Linked DNA regions of Danio rerio. The protein of the gene in region 2 binds, or shares a complex with, the protein of the main gene of each other region. Links are inferred from orthologs where the notes say so. Each region holds a gene or a part of one and is shown on either strand. Other genes may lie near its edges.

What was found. Proteins that work in one complex are often made in the same cells at the same time.
Region 1: the proteins of rps6ka1 (region 2) and s100b are in contact, whole or in part, in a crystal structure (PDB 5CSJ), measured with the Homo sapiens proteins. The link is inferred for Danio rerio from reciprocal best matches to the Homo sapiens genes RPS6KA1 and S100B. Residues at the interface, in NP_002944.2 of Homo sapiens: Ala697, Met698, Ala699, Ala700, Thr701, Ser703; in NP_006263.1 of Homo sapiens: Ser42, His43, Phe44, Leu45, Glu46, Ile48, Val53, Val57, Ala84.
Region 3: the proteins of rps6ka1 (region 2) and magi1b are in contact, whole or in part, in a crystal structure (PDB 5N7F), measured with the Homo sapiens proteins. The link is inferred for Danio rerio from reciprocal best matches to the Homo sapiens genes RPS6KA1 and MAGI1. Residues at the interface, in NP_002944.2 of Homo sapiens: Pro731, Ser732, Thr733, Thr734, Leu735; in NP_001028229.1 of Homo sapiens: Arg480, Gly481, Phe482, Gly483, Phe484, Thr485, Val486, Val487, Gly488, Asp490, Lys499, Ser500, His532, Val536, Phe539, Gln540.

Annotation. Positions count from the first base shown.
Region 1 is NC_133197.1:13,546,931-13,552,569, forward strand, and holds the start of s100b (protein S100-B), read right to left. Parts: upstream 3,801-5,639; 5' UTR 3,769-3,800; intron 3,496-3,768; 5' UTR 3,465-3,495; coding exon 3,327-3,464; intron 667-3,326; coding exon 517-666; 3' UTR 1-516. UniProt on the Homo sapiens protein: Small zinc- and- and calcium-binding protein that is highly expressed in astrocytes and constitutes one of the most abundant soluble proteins in brain.
Region 2 is NC_133192.1:28,645,724-28,649,829, reverse strand, and holds part of rps6ka1 (ribosomal protein S6 kinase alpha-1), read right to left. Parts: coding exon 4,080-4,106; intron 4,008-4,079; coding exon 3,870-4,007; intron 1,479-3,869; coding exon 1,356-1,478; 3' UTR 1-1,355. UniProt on the Homo sapiens protein: Serine/threonine-protein kinase that acts downstream of ERK (MAPK1/ERK2 and MAPK3/ERK1) signaling and mediates mitogenic and stress-induced activation of the transcription factors CREB1, ETV1/ER81 and NR4A1/NUR77, regulates translation through RPS6 and EIF4B phosphorylation, and mediates cellular proliferation, survival, and differentiation by modulating mTOR signaling and repressing pro-apoptotic function of BAD and DAPK1.
Region 3 is NC_133186.1:20,964,472-20,970,061, reverse strand, and holds the start of magi1b (membrane-associated guanylate kinase, WW and PDZ domain-containing protein 1b), read right to left. Parts: upstream 3,801-5,590; 5' UTR 3,296-3,800; coding exon 2,998-3,295; intron 1-2,997. UniProt on the Homo sapiens protein: Plays a role in coupling actin fibers to cell junctions in endothelial cells, via its interaction with AMOTL2 and CDH5. May regulate acid-induced ASIC3 currents by modulating its expression at the cell surface.

The DNA of each region.
Region 1 (5,639 bases), on a different chromosome or scaffold from region 2:
ATTCTAACAGTTCGTATGGGATTGATTTGCAAATCTACATCATTTATGGATGGTCATAAACATCATACAAGATGCTCAGAAGAATAATTCGCTTTGGTGGGTCTTTTTAAAGCACAGTGTGATTTGTCTAAGGCCCCGGAACAATCTGACAAAAGTCAATAGCAGCCTAATAGTCTGAAGCTAATCAAAAGAAAAAAAACATTTCACAATCAGCCTGGAATTGAAATGACAAGAGTAAAACACCTGGATCCGCATTCCACTCGATGAGATTTATGATGGCCATGTCTTGAAACAAATGTCTAGCCAAAATAATAGAAGCATGCTTTGTAATAAATTACGAACTGATTTTCGAGTCTAGCAGAAATAAGCTAAATTGTCAGACAAGCTGCATGTACATTCTGTCCAAACAAACAACAACAATAAAACAATCCTAATGCGATGAGAACGAAGTAAAGTTTACTGAAGAAATGTATTGAGACTCATTAAACTACGAAAACTACTTTCTTTTATTTAGACTCATTCGTCTTCATGGTGTTCGAAAAACTCATGGCAACAGATGGTAACCATGGTGACGAAGGTCATGAACTCCTGGAAATCACACTCCGAGTCGCCATCGGTGTCCAAACTTTCCATCAAACTGTCCATTGTAGCTTGGTCTTTCACTTGCTAGGGGAGACAAAAAGAGAGTAACCTTCAGAATCACGAATTTGGCTAATTCGGCTTAGCTAAAAAAGTCGTAGCTTCTCTCAAAGTTATGTAACTCTCTGCCTTTGCACATTTGCCAAGTGGATACTATTTCCAATCTTTAATTTCAGATAAACTTTTTTTGTTTAGGATAGCTTTTAATGTTCTGCTGTTTTATTATCCTGTCTATTGCTTTTTACAGCTTATATTTTTATTACATGCTTGCGATATACTGTAAGGTGTCCTTGAGTGCTTTGAGAGGTGCCTATAAATAAAAGGTATTATTATTATTATTATTATTAATTCTAAAATAAAGCTTTGATTGAAAATTTTTAGGAAGATGTGTGTGAAAAAAAATACTTTATTAAAAGTCAGATATACATGTGTGTGCTATGCAGCTCCTAGATCCATGTTTCATTCGTCCACACTCAATTTCACTCTTATATATATTTTTTTTATTTATTTTAAAATACTTTGACTTTCTGACATTTGTTCACCTTGTGTATTTATCATGTGAAGAAACCCTCAATGTTCATTAAGCATGATCAGACCAGATTTGTGTACATTGGAAACAGTCACAAACACAACAAATGTTTGTAGACACTTGCAATTGACACAATTTCAGCATAATTACAAACCAATTCACATAATTTCAAACCAACTGACAAACAACTTGGCATAATTACAAACAAGGCGCTGCTAATTTTTCAAAACTAAGTATAGTTTGGGAAAAAGAAAGGTTTTAGTAAAAAAAAGTAATGTTTTATCAGTTCGCCCACACTTTACTTCATGAGTTTATTATTGTATATTTTATTATTGTATGTTCATTTTAAAATTCTTAAAGTTTGGCTTTCTGTTTTTTTATGAGAGAAAACATTCATTGTAAGGTCTCATTTATTACCCACAAATACACTAAATTTAAGTACCATGGAAAGATTCACAAACACAATAAATCTGTGTAGATATTAGGCATGGGGCGGTATAAGTTTCTGACAGGATAAAAATACCAGGGTTTTACAGTATCACAGTATTGTGATAACTGCTCTAAAATAAGTTAATTTTAAATGTTTGGGTAAAACTAAAAATCTGAACACAGTATATTTTATTTTAGGAAACATTTATAATATTTTGGAAAAGCAAAAGTCAGGCTAAATAGTTCAAATAAATCATTGACTTCTGCAGTCTTCAATTTTAAAAAACACAGAAAAAATACACTAAACAACCCTGACATATACCTTAGGAACGGTATAACAGAAAATCTTAGCGGTTTTAAAACCTTGACTTTTTCAAACCAAGGCAAACCAGTTATTGTCCTATGCCTAGTAGAAATCATTTTTTCACAACTGACACAATGCTGGGATAAAGCTGTGATAACTAATCAAGCATTCCTAATATTTCAAGACAGTGTAGTGTGAAAAAACAAAAACGTTGACCTCAATACAAGTCTGAAACTACGCAGACACTCGATTAATTTAGTGCTTCCGAAATTTGCCAAAACATTCCTTGAATATTCTTTGTACAGTACTTCATCTTGTTTCGCTTTCATAATTTGTCTACCTTGTACAGAAACATTAATTGTAGGTCATTTTTCAATAAAGGAATATTTCACCCACAAATTAAGGGTTAGAGTTTCTTTCCTCTATTAAACACAAAAGTATTTTGAAGAAAACTGTAAAGTCGTAACCATTGATTTCCATAGTAGGAAAAGCAAATTCTGTGGAAGTCAATGGTTACAGGTTTTCAGCATTCTTCACGATGTCTTCTTTTGTGTTCATCAGAATAAAGAGTCTCATAAAAGGTCTGGAACAACTTGAGGGTGAGTAAATAGAGAGTAAATTATTTTTTGGGGGGGTGAAATATCCCTTTAAGTATAGATGTGTGTACTTTTTTCTGTTGTAAACTGTCAATATGTAATATTTTGACACCCATTTTTCTTCTATTTACACAATTTTTAAAAAGTGTACAGTGAAAAATATCTTTACCTTAATAAAAGTTGAAAAATCAAGCATGAGTGGATATTCAAAGGGACACATCACCCAAAAATGTCAATTTAACTCGCGTGGTTCTAAACTTTTATGAGTTTTTGTCTTCTGTTGAACACTATAAGTTAGTTTGAAGAGTAGTTTGGCAAATTAAAGAATAGTTTGACAACTTAAAAAATAGTTTGACAGCTTGAAGAATAGTTTGACAGCTTGACAGTAGTCTGAAACTTAAAGATAATTTGAAAAATGTTGGAATATTGCCATTAACATCGATAGTAGGAACAAAACATACTATGAAAGTCAATAGCATTTTTCTCCCAACATTCTTCGGTATATCTTTTTATATATATAAAAAAAATAAAAAACACAACCATTAAATCTACATAACTTGAACATTATCAGTTCATTATTGTCATTACGTGATTTTCTTTCCATAAATTTTACAATTTGACACCAGTAATTTGTTACCTTCTGGTCGACTTTGTAAAGAAACATTAATTCCAGAGTTGTTCATTAGGCATGATCATAATAAATTAGTATAAATTTTACACTTTTTAACACAATAACTAGCAAACAAAGATTTTTTTACACAGTTCTGACAATCACTTTATTATAAAACACATATTCCCAAGTTTTCGAATCAAAAACAAAAAAAATTACCTCAGTGAGAGTTGGAAACTCATGCGTGAGCAGCTCCTTGAGTTCACTCTTTTTTAATTTGTACTTGTCTCCTTCTTTCGACGAGTATTTGTGGAAGACTTCAATGATGGTTCCCAGGCAGTTCTCTAAGTCTGACATCTTAATGTGCTGCAGCGACGCTCAACGTTTCCTGGAATAATTACTAAAAATGTGAAAAATGCTTGATAGCAATTTCAAGCTGTTTAACTTTTTCCCTCAAATGTCTGCAAACAAGTTTAAGTGTCGGAGCAATTTTATAGACCATTAAGTTTCGTTCTGTCTTTCACTTTTGCAAACACATTTCTAGTCATTATGTAGTTTTTTTTTTTTTTTTTTTTGCAATTTCATCCTCAGTTTGGAAAAGCTTGGAGCAAAATAAGCTTTAAAAACATTGGAATGATAAATAAAAACGTACTAGACTTACCAGCAGAGAGTTTGTCAGAAAGAGGCGATTCTGCAGAGGGAGATGAGAGTCCATTTATAGGTCTGAAAAGGAGGAGCTTGGAGATTTGAGATTCTGTGCTGTCAATCACTGGATCTGACCAATCAGCTTCTTAACTTGTTCTCACTCCACTAGACACACATTTAAAGTCCAGAACAAAGGGGTGAATATATTCACACACACACACACACTCATAGTGTTACACTTGCGACTTCTGCTATAACATGCATAAACTTTTACTGTAATAATTAATTAGTTTTATGCCATTTTAGCTTAATATTAGAATTTATATTAAGTGTATTTATTGTTTTATCAGTATTTTATTGTCCTTTCATGATTTTCATTTCAAAGTAATCATTTAAAGTAGCCAATTCTGTGCACAAAGGCTGCATTTATTTGATGGAAAACACAGTAATAATTGTGAAATAATATTACAATTAAAAAAAAACTGTTTCCTTATTGATTGTAGTTGTAAATTAGATTTATTCCTGTGATTCAAAGCTGACTTTCCATCATCATTACTTGTCTTTAGTGTCACATGATCCTTTGGAAATATGATATAATATGATGATTTGCTGTTCTGTTATGATCAGCTATTGGTACACAATCACTAATAAGGATTTCGTACAATTATTAGTGATGAATTTTCTTGTCTTCATGTATTGTAGAAAATGTGATATATTTTACATATGGGGATACTTCGATAAAAAAATAAAGTTCTAAATAATAATTCTTAGCACACATAAAATGTTAACAAATCTTACTGTTTCCAAACAGGTTTATTCCAACACAATCTCATGGCAATTCATAACTTTTTGATTTTTGAATCTAATTTGTACAATTTCATATGATTTGCTCATCGCACAATGAAGGTTGGGTTTAGGGGTTGGGTGCCACGCCTCCTTTTTAAAATCACACAATTTCGTATTACTGAACTCGTACGAATCCGTTTGAATTAGCCACTAAACTCACAAAACCTAAAATACTTACGTTTTCTCGTGAGATCAGGCTGTTTATTCTTTTATTTAATGTTTTATTCAGTCCTTTCAGTCTGTTCTCAATACATAAATTTTTTTTCAGGCCATAAGCAAGCTATACGAGTTTATATGCAAAAACAGAACTCAGTTTTTATTCATTTTTTTGTTGCAAAGGTTTTTGCAAATGGATTCTTCAAATGTTTAGTTGTTTTCCTTTTCTATTTTAACAATTTAATTCTTTAATAGTAAAAAGCTTTGTTTTATGATTAATGTGTTTAGCAGCTTGTTGTTTTTCAGTTTTATAAATATCGTATTAAGTGTTCTTATTGTTTGAACAACCCTTTTTTGATGATTCATTGTCCTTTAATTGTGTTTTCCAAATAAAATCATTTTATCTAAACATAAAGTTTGTCTTGTCCTCTCACTTTAGGTTATAAGTAAATATAAAGAGTTAATTTGCCAAAAAAAAAAAAAACAGATACCTCTGTTTTTATTAATTTTCAAAAATCATCTTTTATATTTATGAAAAATACTTTTCTATTTTTGCTAATGAACTTTTTATATTTTAATGTACTCTTCATAAACTCTTCATATACTTTTATATATTTTTCCCTTTCTATTCTGATATGCAAAACATAACTTTTTGTAGAGTCGAAAAATGTGTTTCTGTATAATAAGTTCAATTTAATGATCAGTTTATTGTTGTTTTTCAATTTCAGAAGCTTAAGCCTTGTATTGTGATGTTTCGAAGTAATCCTCTTTTCTATACCGTAATCTGGTTTTATGGCCATAAGCATGTATATGTTGTTTTTTTTTTTTTATCTCTTTCTGTTCTGCTTTTGATCTTTCCCGAAGTTCTGTTGCCCATAATCGCAC
Region 2 (4,106 bases):
AAACATGTAGTGACTAAATGATTACCATTATCATTTTATGGATTTCTTTAATTTCAATAATCAGATCTTAAATCTTTTGTTAATCTTTATATTGGAGTAAACAAATGTTTAAACAATTCAAAAATTCTAGTGAGGAAAATGCAAAACAATACTGCAAGCACATCTTAAAACATTGAAGACGAGTTTGACTGGGTGCAATACTTGAGCAAGACAAGGCTTCATGAATTTGCAAGGCATCGCTAAGAACAGCCTGAGCACAAAATAGTGGATATTTCCAGCACGCTGGGCTTCTGAACAGAGAGAGAACAAAGAATAGGACAGACAGGATAAAAAATATACACAATCATTAAATCTTTTTTTTGTTTCTCAGCGGTCATATTTATACATCTTGTGCTCTGTGTGCCTTTATAAAATAACTTCTCTTTAAGCAAAACAACAACAACAAAATCAAAACACACAGGAGACAGCAGTCAATATCCAGAAAAAGCACTGGTCTAAACAAGAGCAACATTTTTTTCATGCCAGAAGCTTTAGATGTCATCTCACATTCAGACTTTTTTTCTTGTTTGCTTTAATAAACACAAAAGGAGACATTTTCTGAACAGTCTTCACCAGTGCTGATACGTTCACGAAACGAAAGTGCTGAGTTGGGGGAAAACAAGACAGCATTGTACAAATCCATGCAGAGAGCACTTCCAGTATGATAGTCGTGTGAACATTCTCACCGGATCCTCATGGAAGATATTTTTTACTTTAGTCATTCATCTGGGTGAAATCTTATACTGGAACATCTTTATTTCTCCCGAGCTTTCAGAAAGAGGGCCTACAAAAGTGAACTACTGACAAAAAAAACAAAAAAAAAAGTTGAAAGGCTTTCAAAAAAGACATATTGTACACAAAACAACATGACAATCCAGATCGAACAAAATACAGAGATAAAAAAAATATAAGCAAATCAAACAAAAAACTGAGGATGAAAAAAAAAGTGTTGATATTTAGCAATTACAGTACCAAGACATAAATGCACTGGGAATATCATCTACTTTTTAACAGAATCCTTTACCTGCTTCTTTGAAATTGGACGCACAAAAAACTAAACAAATACAAACACATTTACTCCTAAGGGAGTCTGGAACCCTCACTGACCACGCCCCTCAAACTTCATCAGCCAATCAGCTCCCTTGCCTAGTGTGCTTGACAGCTTCCCTCCTGTGCTGATGTCATGGGCAGGTTCAAGTGACCGTCTTTAGTCTGTAGAGCTTCAGTGTGGTTTTTTTCATCCATCCATCTGTCCGTCCGTCTGTCCATCCATCCGGTCCACAACTGCATTCAGTCAGGAATACTTCTCCTCTTCTCTACAGAGAGGTGGAAGGGAGCTTTTTCACCCGTCTCTGAGCTAAGAATGAGGACTCGATTGGCTTCAGCTCAGGAGGTGGTTGGGAACTCTTCAGTGCCGAGTATGTCGCGGCCATCGCACCCTGTGCAGAGAGAGTAATCAAATAATACACCATCATTTATGGTAAAAAAAACAAGTCACTATAAAATGCGAAAGCAGTAAAGGCTCAATTATATTTGTGTTTGCAACGAACGTGCTGAGCAAAGTAGCCAATCACAAACATATCTTCTGTACTTTTGAGCAAAGCGGCCAATCAGAGGTGTTTTTACATTTTATACATTATTTGTTTTTGTATGAAAAGTTTTATGTGACTGAAACATCTCAAAGTGTTGATACAATGTAAATATTACATTTAATGTACAGTGTAAACAAAAAGATTATAACAAGGGTTTGTGATTTTTTTTGGCCGCTTTTTTATTTAGCAACAAAATAAATAAAGGTTGTGTCGGTACATTAGCTGGTTTAAGCCTTTCAGGATTGAATAAATAATAACTGCTTGTAGGCAGTGTTGGGAACATTCATTTTAAATATTAATTAGTTATAGTTACTACTTCTCACAAATAGTTAGTAACCGAGTTACATAATTATAACAGTAACTAATTACCAGAGGAAGTAACTATTGTGTTACTTTAAAAAGTCAATTTTTTCAAATGACTATAAAATAAAAATAAAACATTGGGTATCACTTTATTTTAATGGTCCCTTTAACACATTTTTGTGGATTTTTAAATAACATTGCATCTACATACCAACTAATTTTCATTAGACTATAAGTAGACTGTTAGGTTGGGGTTAGGGTTAGTGTCAGTGTAAGTTGACGTACTTGCAAAGTTTTTTATAGTCAGTTGAATGTCTGTTGAAGGAGCAGTATCAGCAGATATTAAGCAGACAGTCTACTAATACTCAAATGATAATTAGTTGGCTTGTAGTTGCAATGCAACTTTTAGTCAACAAAATGTGCAATAGAGACCATCAAATTAAACTCTTACCAAACACTGTTCACTAATCTACACTAGATATTATTTTGTTAAATTCTGTCTGAGTAATAAGTGTTTACGGTGGAGAATTTTAAGTTTTATTTGTTTTGACGTCACGGCTTCATCTCCTCCTTTGGTAGCAGAGTTCACATTATCTAATTTTGTGGCAGCATGTGACGCTGTGAGGTGCTTCATTAGATTAGAATTACTTGTCACCGATGCAGAGAGACTATATTTTTCTGGGCATAAGTTGCATGATACATAAACATTCCTGCCTTTCACCTCAACGAGGGAAAAGTGGTGTTTATATATCTAGTTTGCAAACGTTACCTTTAAACTTGCTGGATTTACCATTGTTCTGACTCCTGGTCATTGATGTGTGCGACTGACTGCGTGTGTTTGTGTGTGAACACCAGCACGACTCTGTCTCTGACTGACAAACAATGCAAATGTACTCTATCTTAGCCAATATTCAGGTTCTCAGACACATTTATCATCATCACCAGTTGGTTATGTGCCTCGCCCCAGCCCTGAACACACACACAGACACACCGCGCAGAAAAAGAGAGGTCCTATGGCTGGCTGAGAGACGCTGCTCGCATGAAAACTATGGTAACGGACATTTTATTGTCAGTAACGGTAACAGCGTTATAACGGGAGAAACAGTAGTTCATTTGATTACTCATTACTGGAAAAAAGTATCGCTGTTAGTAACGTAAGTTATTTATGGTGTCGTTATTCACATAACTGCCCATAGATCAAGAAAAGTCCCTGTCTTAAGATGGTTCCCCCGAAAATCGCCATCATCCTTGACTTGTTTCAAACCTTTTTGAGTTTTTTTTTTTTTTGTGCCTCAGAAACTTTGTCTCTCTCCATGGACATTTATACTGCCAGCCACATTACAAACAGCTCTTAAAGTCTAAAGGGAATCTGGAGGAGGGATTCGGTCAGAGTGAATTACGCAATCTTAAAAAAACACAAAACATTTTTTTAAAGAAATCTGAAAACCTGTAACCACTGACTTCAACAGTATTTGTTTTTCCTTTAATAGAAGTGAATGGTTACAGGTTTACAACTTACTTCAAAATATCTTCTTTTGTTCAACAGAAAAAAAGACACTCAAAGATTTGGAACAACTTGAGTGTTAATAAATGTTAAGTAAATGTTCATTTTTGAGTGAACTATCCCTTTACCAAGAGATTCAATGAATCATTCATTCAAATGATTTGTTTAAAAAAGCTGCTTCTTTTAGAAAGTAAACCTATGTAATGTAAATCCTTTGTCATAAAATGACAATTAATCAGTATTTTAGGGCTGCACTGTAATCCTTAAATAGAATATTTTACCATCAACCTTCCATGCTTGGCCCTTACATAATTACAGTTTTCTAGAGCACTCTACCCTAAGTTTAGAAGCACCCTCAAAAACTGATTTCTTTCTGGAACCGGGCATGCATGCTGCATATAAATAGTGCAAAATCCTCAAGGCGGGGATACCTTGACAAGCTTAGCATCCTGATGTTGTAGCTGGCTGTTGGGAAGTTTGTCTCTCTGAACGATCCATGGATGTTTCAGCACCTGCCTGGCTGTGAGCCGCTGGTGAGGGTCCACATGGAGCATCTTTGAGACCAAATCCTGTAGAGAAAAGCATGTGTGTGAGAAAACACCTCCCTTCAAAGCAGTCTGGATGAATGGGGATTGGCCTACTTTGGCAGCATCAGACACTGCGTCCCA
Region 3 (5,590 bases), on a different chromosome or scaffold from region 2:
AGCAGTGTGTCATTCCACCCCTTTAGAAAGAGGCTCAGAGTGGCAAACTGATCTCAGATCAGCATTTGTTTACAATCACCGCAGACATGGGAGAAATCTGATACGGGATAAATTGTCCCACTGTGAGATGCATCATGATATCAAGTCATCAGCCAGTCTGGACAGACATTATCTAAAAATAATGACACTTCAAAACGGCATGTGGTGCAACCACTAGAAAGTTTTTCTAATAATCTTGCACCTTGAATAATAATATAGTGGTATTGTCTAAAGTTTGATATTTTCCACAATATTTCAATATTTAATGCGATCCTGTTTTCATTTAATTATTCATTTTCTTTCCGGCTTAGTCCTTTTATTAATTAGGGGTCACCACAGCGGAATGAACTGCCAACTTATCCAACATATTTTTTACACAGTAGATGCCCTTGCAGCCGCAACCCAACACTGGGAAACACCCATACACTCTTGCATTCACACACATACACAACGGCCAATTTAGCTTGCTCAATTTACCTATACTGCATGTGTTTAAACTGTAGGAGAAACCGGAGCACCCAGAGGAAACCCACGCCAACACGGAGAGAACATGCAAACTCGACACTGAAACGCCAACTGACCTAGCCGGGGCTCGAACCAGCGACCTTCTTGCTGTGAGGCAATCATGCTACCCACCGCCACCGTGACACTCTCTGTACTTTTTAATATGTTTAACTTGATTGATTAGTTTTACATTTTCTGTTAATTTATTCTGAATTCAAATTAATTTTTAATTATCAAGTTTTATGGTGTTGGGTAATTGCATTTTAATATATTTTGCAGAAAAAAAATGAACAGGCAAGACTAGCAAAATGAGCATTACTTCCCAGACCATGAATCTTTTTACATTTTCCTTACTTTAAGACTTCTAAAACTGCCATCTCTTGTAACTTTCATCTCTAAGTGGTCCAACTCTGCTGACATTACCAATAAAACTGTTTTCTCAGCTGAAGAATAAGAGGCTTATTCCATCAATCAATACAACAGCGTTGAAAGGTATTCTTATTACATATTACCTCCAGAGAGAGAGCTGCCAGGGCACAGACTGTTAGTGAGGTCACCACAGGACTGAGTGTATCTTAATGTAAAAATCAATGAGGATTAATGAGTGAATCTGTTGTGCGCTGCATTAACTGTGCCTAAGGTTATGAACAAGCCATGCTCGTGATTAGAAACACTATACAATAATAACAGTCTGCACAAATAAACAGCTCCATACAACTGCCTTGAAGACCCACAGGTGCTTGTTGTATGAACAAAAGCGTACAAACTCTTGAACCACACGTAATCCACTTCAAGCAGAGCTTAATGCATTTCATATCAATAATTCATACTGTAGTCCAAAGCACTGGGAGTTTGAGATCATCTGTGTGCTGATGTGAAAAATAAAAGACGTTTTTTCGTTGTTGTTTCGCAAACTCACAGAAACACAGATGGCATGTGTTGCCAAAAAAACATTTTCATAATTAAGGCTGGTTACAACAGAAAACTCCCAGACAGCATGATAGATTATAAACAGCGAAACTCAACACCAGAATGTATATGAGGAGTATGTGTGTGTGTGTGAGGGAGAAAGCTGGATCTGGGCCCGGTGGTGCTCTGGGAATGCAGTCCGAGTTGATTGGCTGGTTTCCTGATATTGTCTGAAGTCATTTGGTGAAATAGGCAGAAGCATAGAGAGAGGGAAAGCAGCATAACTCAAACCATGTGATGAGGCAGAGCCCTGTGGGGAGTCACCACTGCTTTAGCACAAAGGACGGTCTGTAGTGCCTTTACCTGCAAATTATGCTCACTCGTCAACTTCTCATAAAGGATTAAAGCGGAATACATCACCAATGGGTGTAGAAATGTGAAGAACGGCTTTACGTGTGAATTTATTTAGGAAATTGTACTTTAAAATGTATCAAAGACTGTACAAAAGAGTGTTCAACATTATCTGACCTTCTGTCAAAAGTTTTTTTTTTTCAGTTCAGCTAAATGTAACCTGGGGTGAAATGTTATCCAATGCCCTTGAATAGAGATTCATTCATTATCAAGTGCGAAATGCTTTACAAGAAGTGCAAAACAAGGCTGCAAATGTATGAAAAAATGCATAAGTAATGCCACATTTTAAAAACAAATGAAAAAAATGCAGAAACTACTGCAAGTCCACCATGTTTCAACAAATGAATAAACAAATAAATAAATAATCTATAGTGAATAAAAAATAAAATATTTATAATTAGGTAAAATGAGAAAATCAGATATTTATTATAATAAATCACTTACTGTAGTAATAACTCAGCTTACTGTATTTGTTGCAATAAATAAACAATAGAAAAAAAATTATTATTTATACAGACACAAATAATAATTTTAGCATATATTATGTTGGTGTGGTAATGATTATGTACAGTTTGCAAATTAGAAATAAAACAATAAATAAAATATACATACTTTTCTTACTGTATTGATCAAAAGAACTAAAATATTTATCACAAATAATTGTTTATCTATTCATATCATATTATGTTATTGGACATGAAAAATAATAACAACTACACCTCCTATCACCCCCACTAACATAACAAATAAAAATACAGAATTAAAAGATAAACTAAATAAAAATGTAGTTATAAAAGTAAAAGTAATAAAAGTAAAGGAAAACACATTATGAAATAACACAAATTAAGAAATTTTAAAATAAAAGCATGCTTCTTAACAACCACTAGCCCTATGCAGTCACATGCAAACATGAATAAATATTTTTATAAATACAGGCCTATTAGCCAACAAACCAAGTCGCCAAGCCTATATTTAGTGAACATGTGAAAATAAATAAATAAATAAATAAATAAATAAATAAATAAATAAATAAATAATACCCGGCTAATTTTAGGAAACAGTTCCTCAATGGCTTGTTTACATGAAATGCATCACACAAACCAAACAAAAGTGAAGGGGAATCGCTCTGCTTACCTTGCCTCACAGTTTTTAACCTTATAGGTCCTTTGCAGTTCTTGATCACTGTCAGCACATCATACAGCGGCAATCCAGAGACAGAAAGCGTCTCCACTTCCAGCAGTAATTCCCCCTCGGACACTTTCCCATTTCTATACTGTACGGCGGTCTCGTTAACGTGTCCGATATAGGCGAACTCTCCGTTCTCCGCGCCACCGAGCAGCTGCACGTTCAGCTCGCCACGGGCGTCCTTGGAGACCGAGCACTCGTTAACTTTGGTGGTCCAGTGATTCTTCTTCTGTACCACTTTGGACATGATGAATCAATAAAATCCGCACAGAAACAGGTGGCTCCGCTGACAGACGACAAAACGAAACACTTTCATAAAATGAAATATCCCACGCGGTAAACTTTCTTCTCCGTCCGCTCAGTCATGAATGCAGCGTCTTCGCAGCCCCAAAAGATCCAAGAAAAAGCTCAACAAAAACAAAATCAAGCCATTGTCCGGCTCTTCACTAAATGAAATTCCCACTCCGACCGCTTCCTTAATTAGCCCGTATTGTTTTCCTCATCCTCGCGCTTTAATATTCTCGGTTGCGCGCATCTGCTTGCCTTTTCATTTCATAAACCTCTTTAAATACACTTCTTCAAGTCTGAAGTTGTTTTCAAAATAGTTTAGCGGTTTCTTAAACACTTAAAGTACCATTCCAGCAGTTTTCTTTGGCACACAGGCAGTGTTAGCGAGCGTTTCCTCCTGGTTCACGGCTCCTTTAAACAGGTACAGCGTTTGACGTCTGTTTTGATACATTTCATCCTGTTCTGCCTGCTCGCGACTCGGGATGGAGCGAATGTCACTGGAGCGCATGCGCATTATTTCCCTTCGGACTCCTGAAGGCAATCCTCACTGCGCACGTCACCAGGTCCTAAAGCCCGTCACGAAAGAAATCATATTTACGAACCTAAGCCGATTTCTGGAAACTCTTGATTAAATGTCTCTCCCCATATAAATCTTCAAAGGCCCTCCAAGTAAATAAATTTAAACATACTCCATGAATAATCGCACCTGGACTTTATACAAGGCTATTATCAGCATCTAAAACTGGTTAATGACATTAATTGAAAACATATCCAGATTCAAGGTGTGAGCTGAAAATCATGAAAGATTTTTGGTTTTTTTTTTTGTGAAACTTGCTGTTTAAAAAGATAAATATTCGTTCCTCAATTTGTTGCACAACCAGTTTTGTCTGTTTGCCCAGACTGTTGCTTTGTGAAGAAATTTAGCCTGGCGTAAGCGTTCATCCCACATGAATCCTTGTCAGTCATGTTCGACCTGCCTATCATGTTTGATGTCCGAAAAAATTTCTTATTTTCCAAACTCTTACCAAAATAAATCATGATTCATTACAAATAGAATTTCCATTTGTCTATTGTCTATTTGAAGATTATTTACTAAATTCTTGGTTTTATCCTCTTGAAGATTCTTACTGGAATGAGGGTTCATTTAAATTATACAGTCAACATTTAAAGTGAATCAAAACAATTTCAAAATTGTCCTAAAACTATGAACCCTTTTCAGATTTTCGAGTTTCTCAGTAGCAGAAGTCTTAGTGGATAAACTTAGAGCACAGTGAATGGGAGTGTACAACAATTTTTTTATATATACAATCCTATTTGCTAAAATAATATAAAAATTGGCAATGATGTTTTCAAGACTTTCAGAAAATAGAAAAAAAAACTATGTGATAATGACAGACAGAAGAGAAAGCATCAAATTTGCTGTTCTGCCTATACACTATACACTGCATTTCAAACATCTGCATAAGCGGTAATTCCTATTTTATCATTTGATGCAAAGATGATAGAAAACATACATAAATAAATATAAATGTTAATATGCTTTTTTTATTAAAATATTAAAAACTTTCAAGTATTTAAGATGCTGATGACCATTAAAGACATTATAACACTGAGTTCCTTTACATGGCCACCAGTAATCAAATTTTGATATGATTAAGACAAAACTCTGATTAAGAGTTTACCATGTAAACAGAGGATTTTTCACCATGTTTTTCGGCAGTATATTCTATACACACAAAGCTGTATGACACTATTCTCCACATCTATTGAGTCAATAAAGGACTACAGACACACATCCCACGAAATGCAAAGGTTTTTTTTTCTCTCATTCGGCATGCGGTATCCAATTTCATTAAAACTTCCAACATTCTTTAATTCATAAACACATCCAATACCTCAGTTTGTCACCGGGGGCATGAATGAAATGTTTCTGAATGAAACTGAAACTGCCTAACTACAGTAAAAGCCGAAATATTAAAAATGAAACATCTGAAATTACATGAAACTCCAGAGGAAACGTGGATAGCATGATGATGCAACAACGTTTATCGATCTTTGTGCTGTAACATGTAAGACAGGATCATAAAAGGAACATTCACAAAGTAACTCGTGTAAACACCTTAATCATATTATTGCTTATTCAGATTAAGGTAAATAATTGGATTACTGATGTCCATGTGAACATAGTCAGTCTTGATAAAAGAGTCTATTGTTTGATCTGGATCCACTTCAAATTTGAACTATTGTATATGTA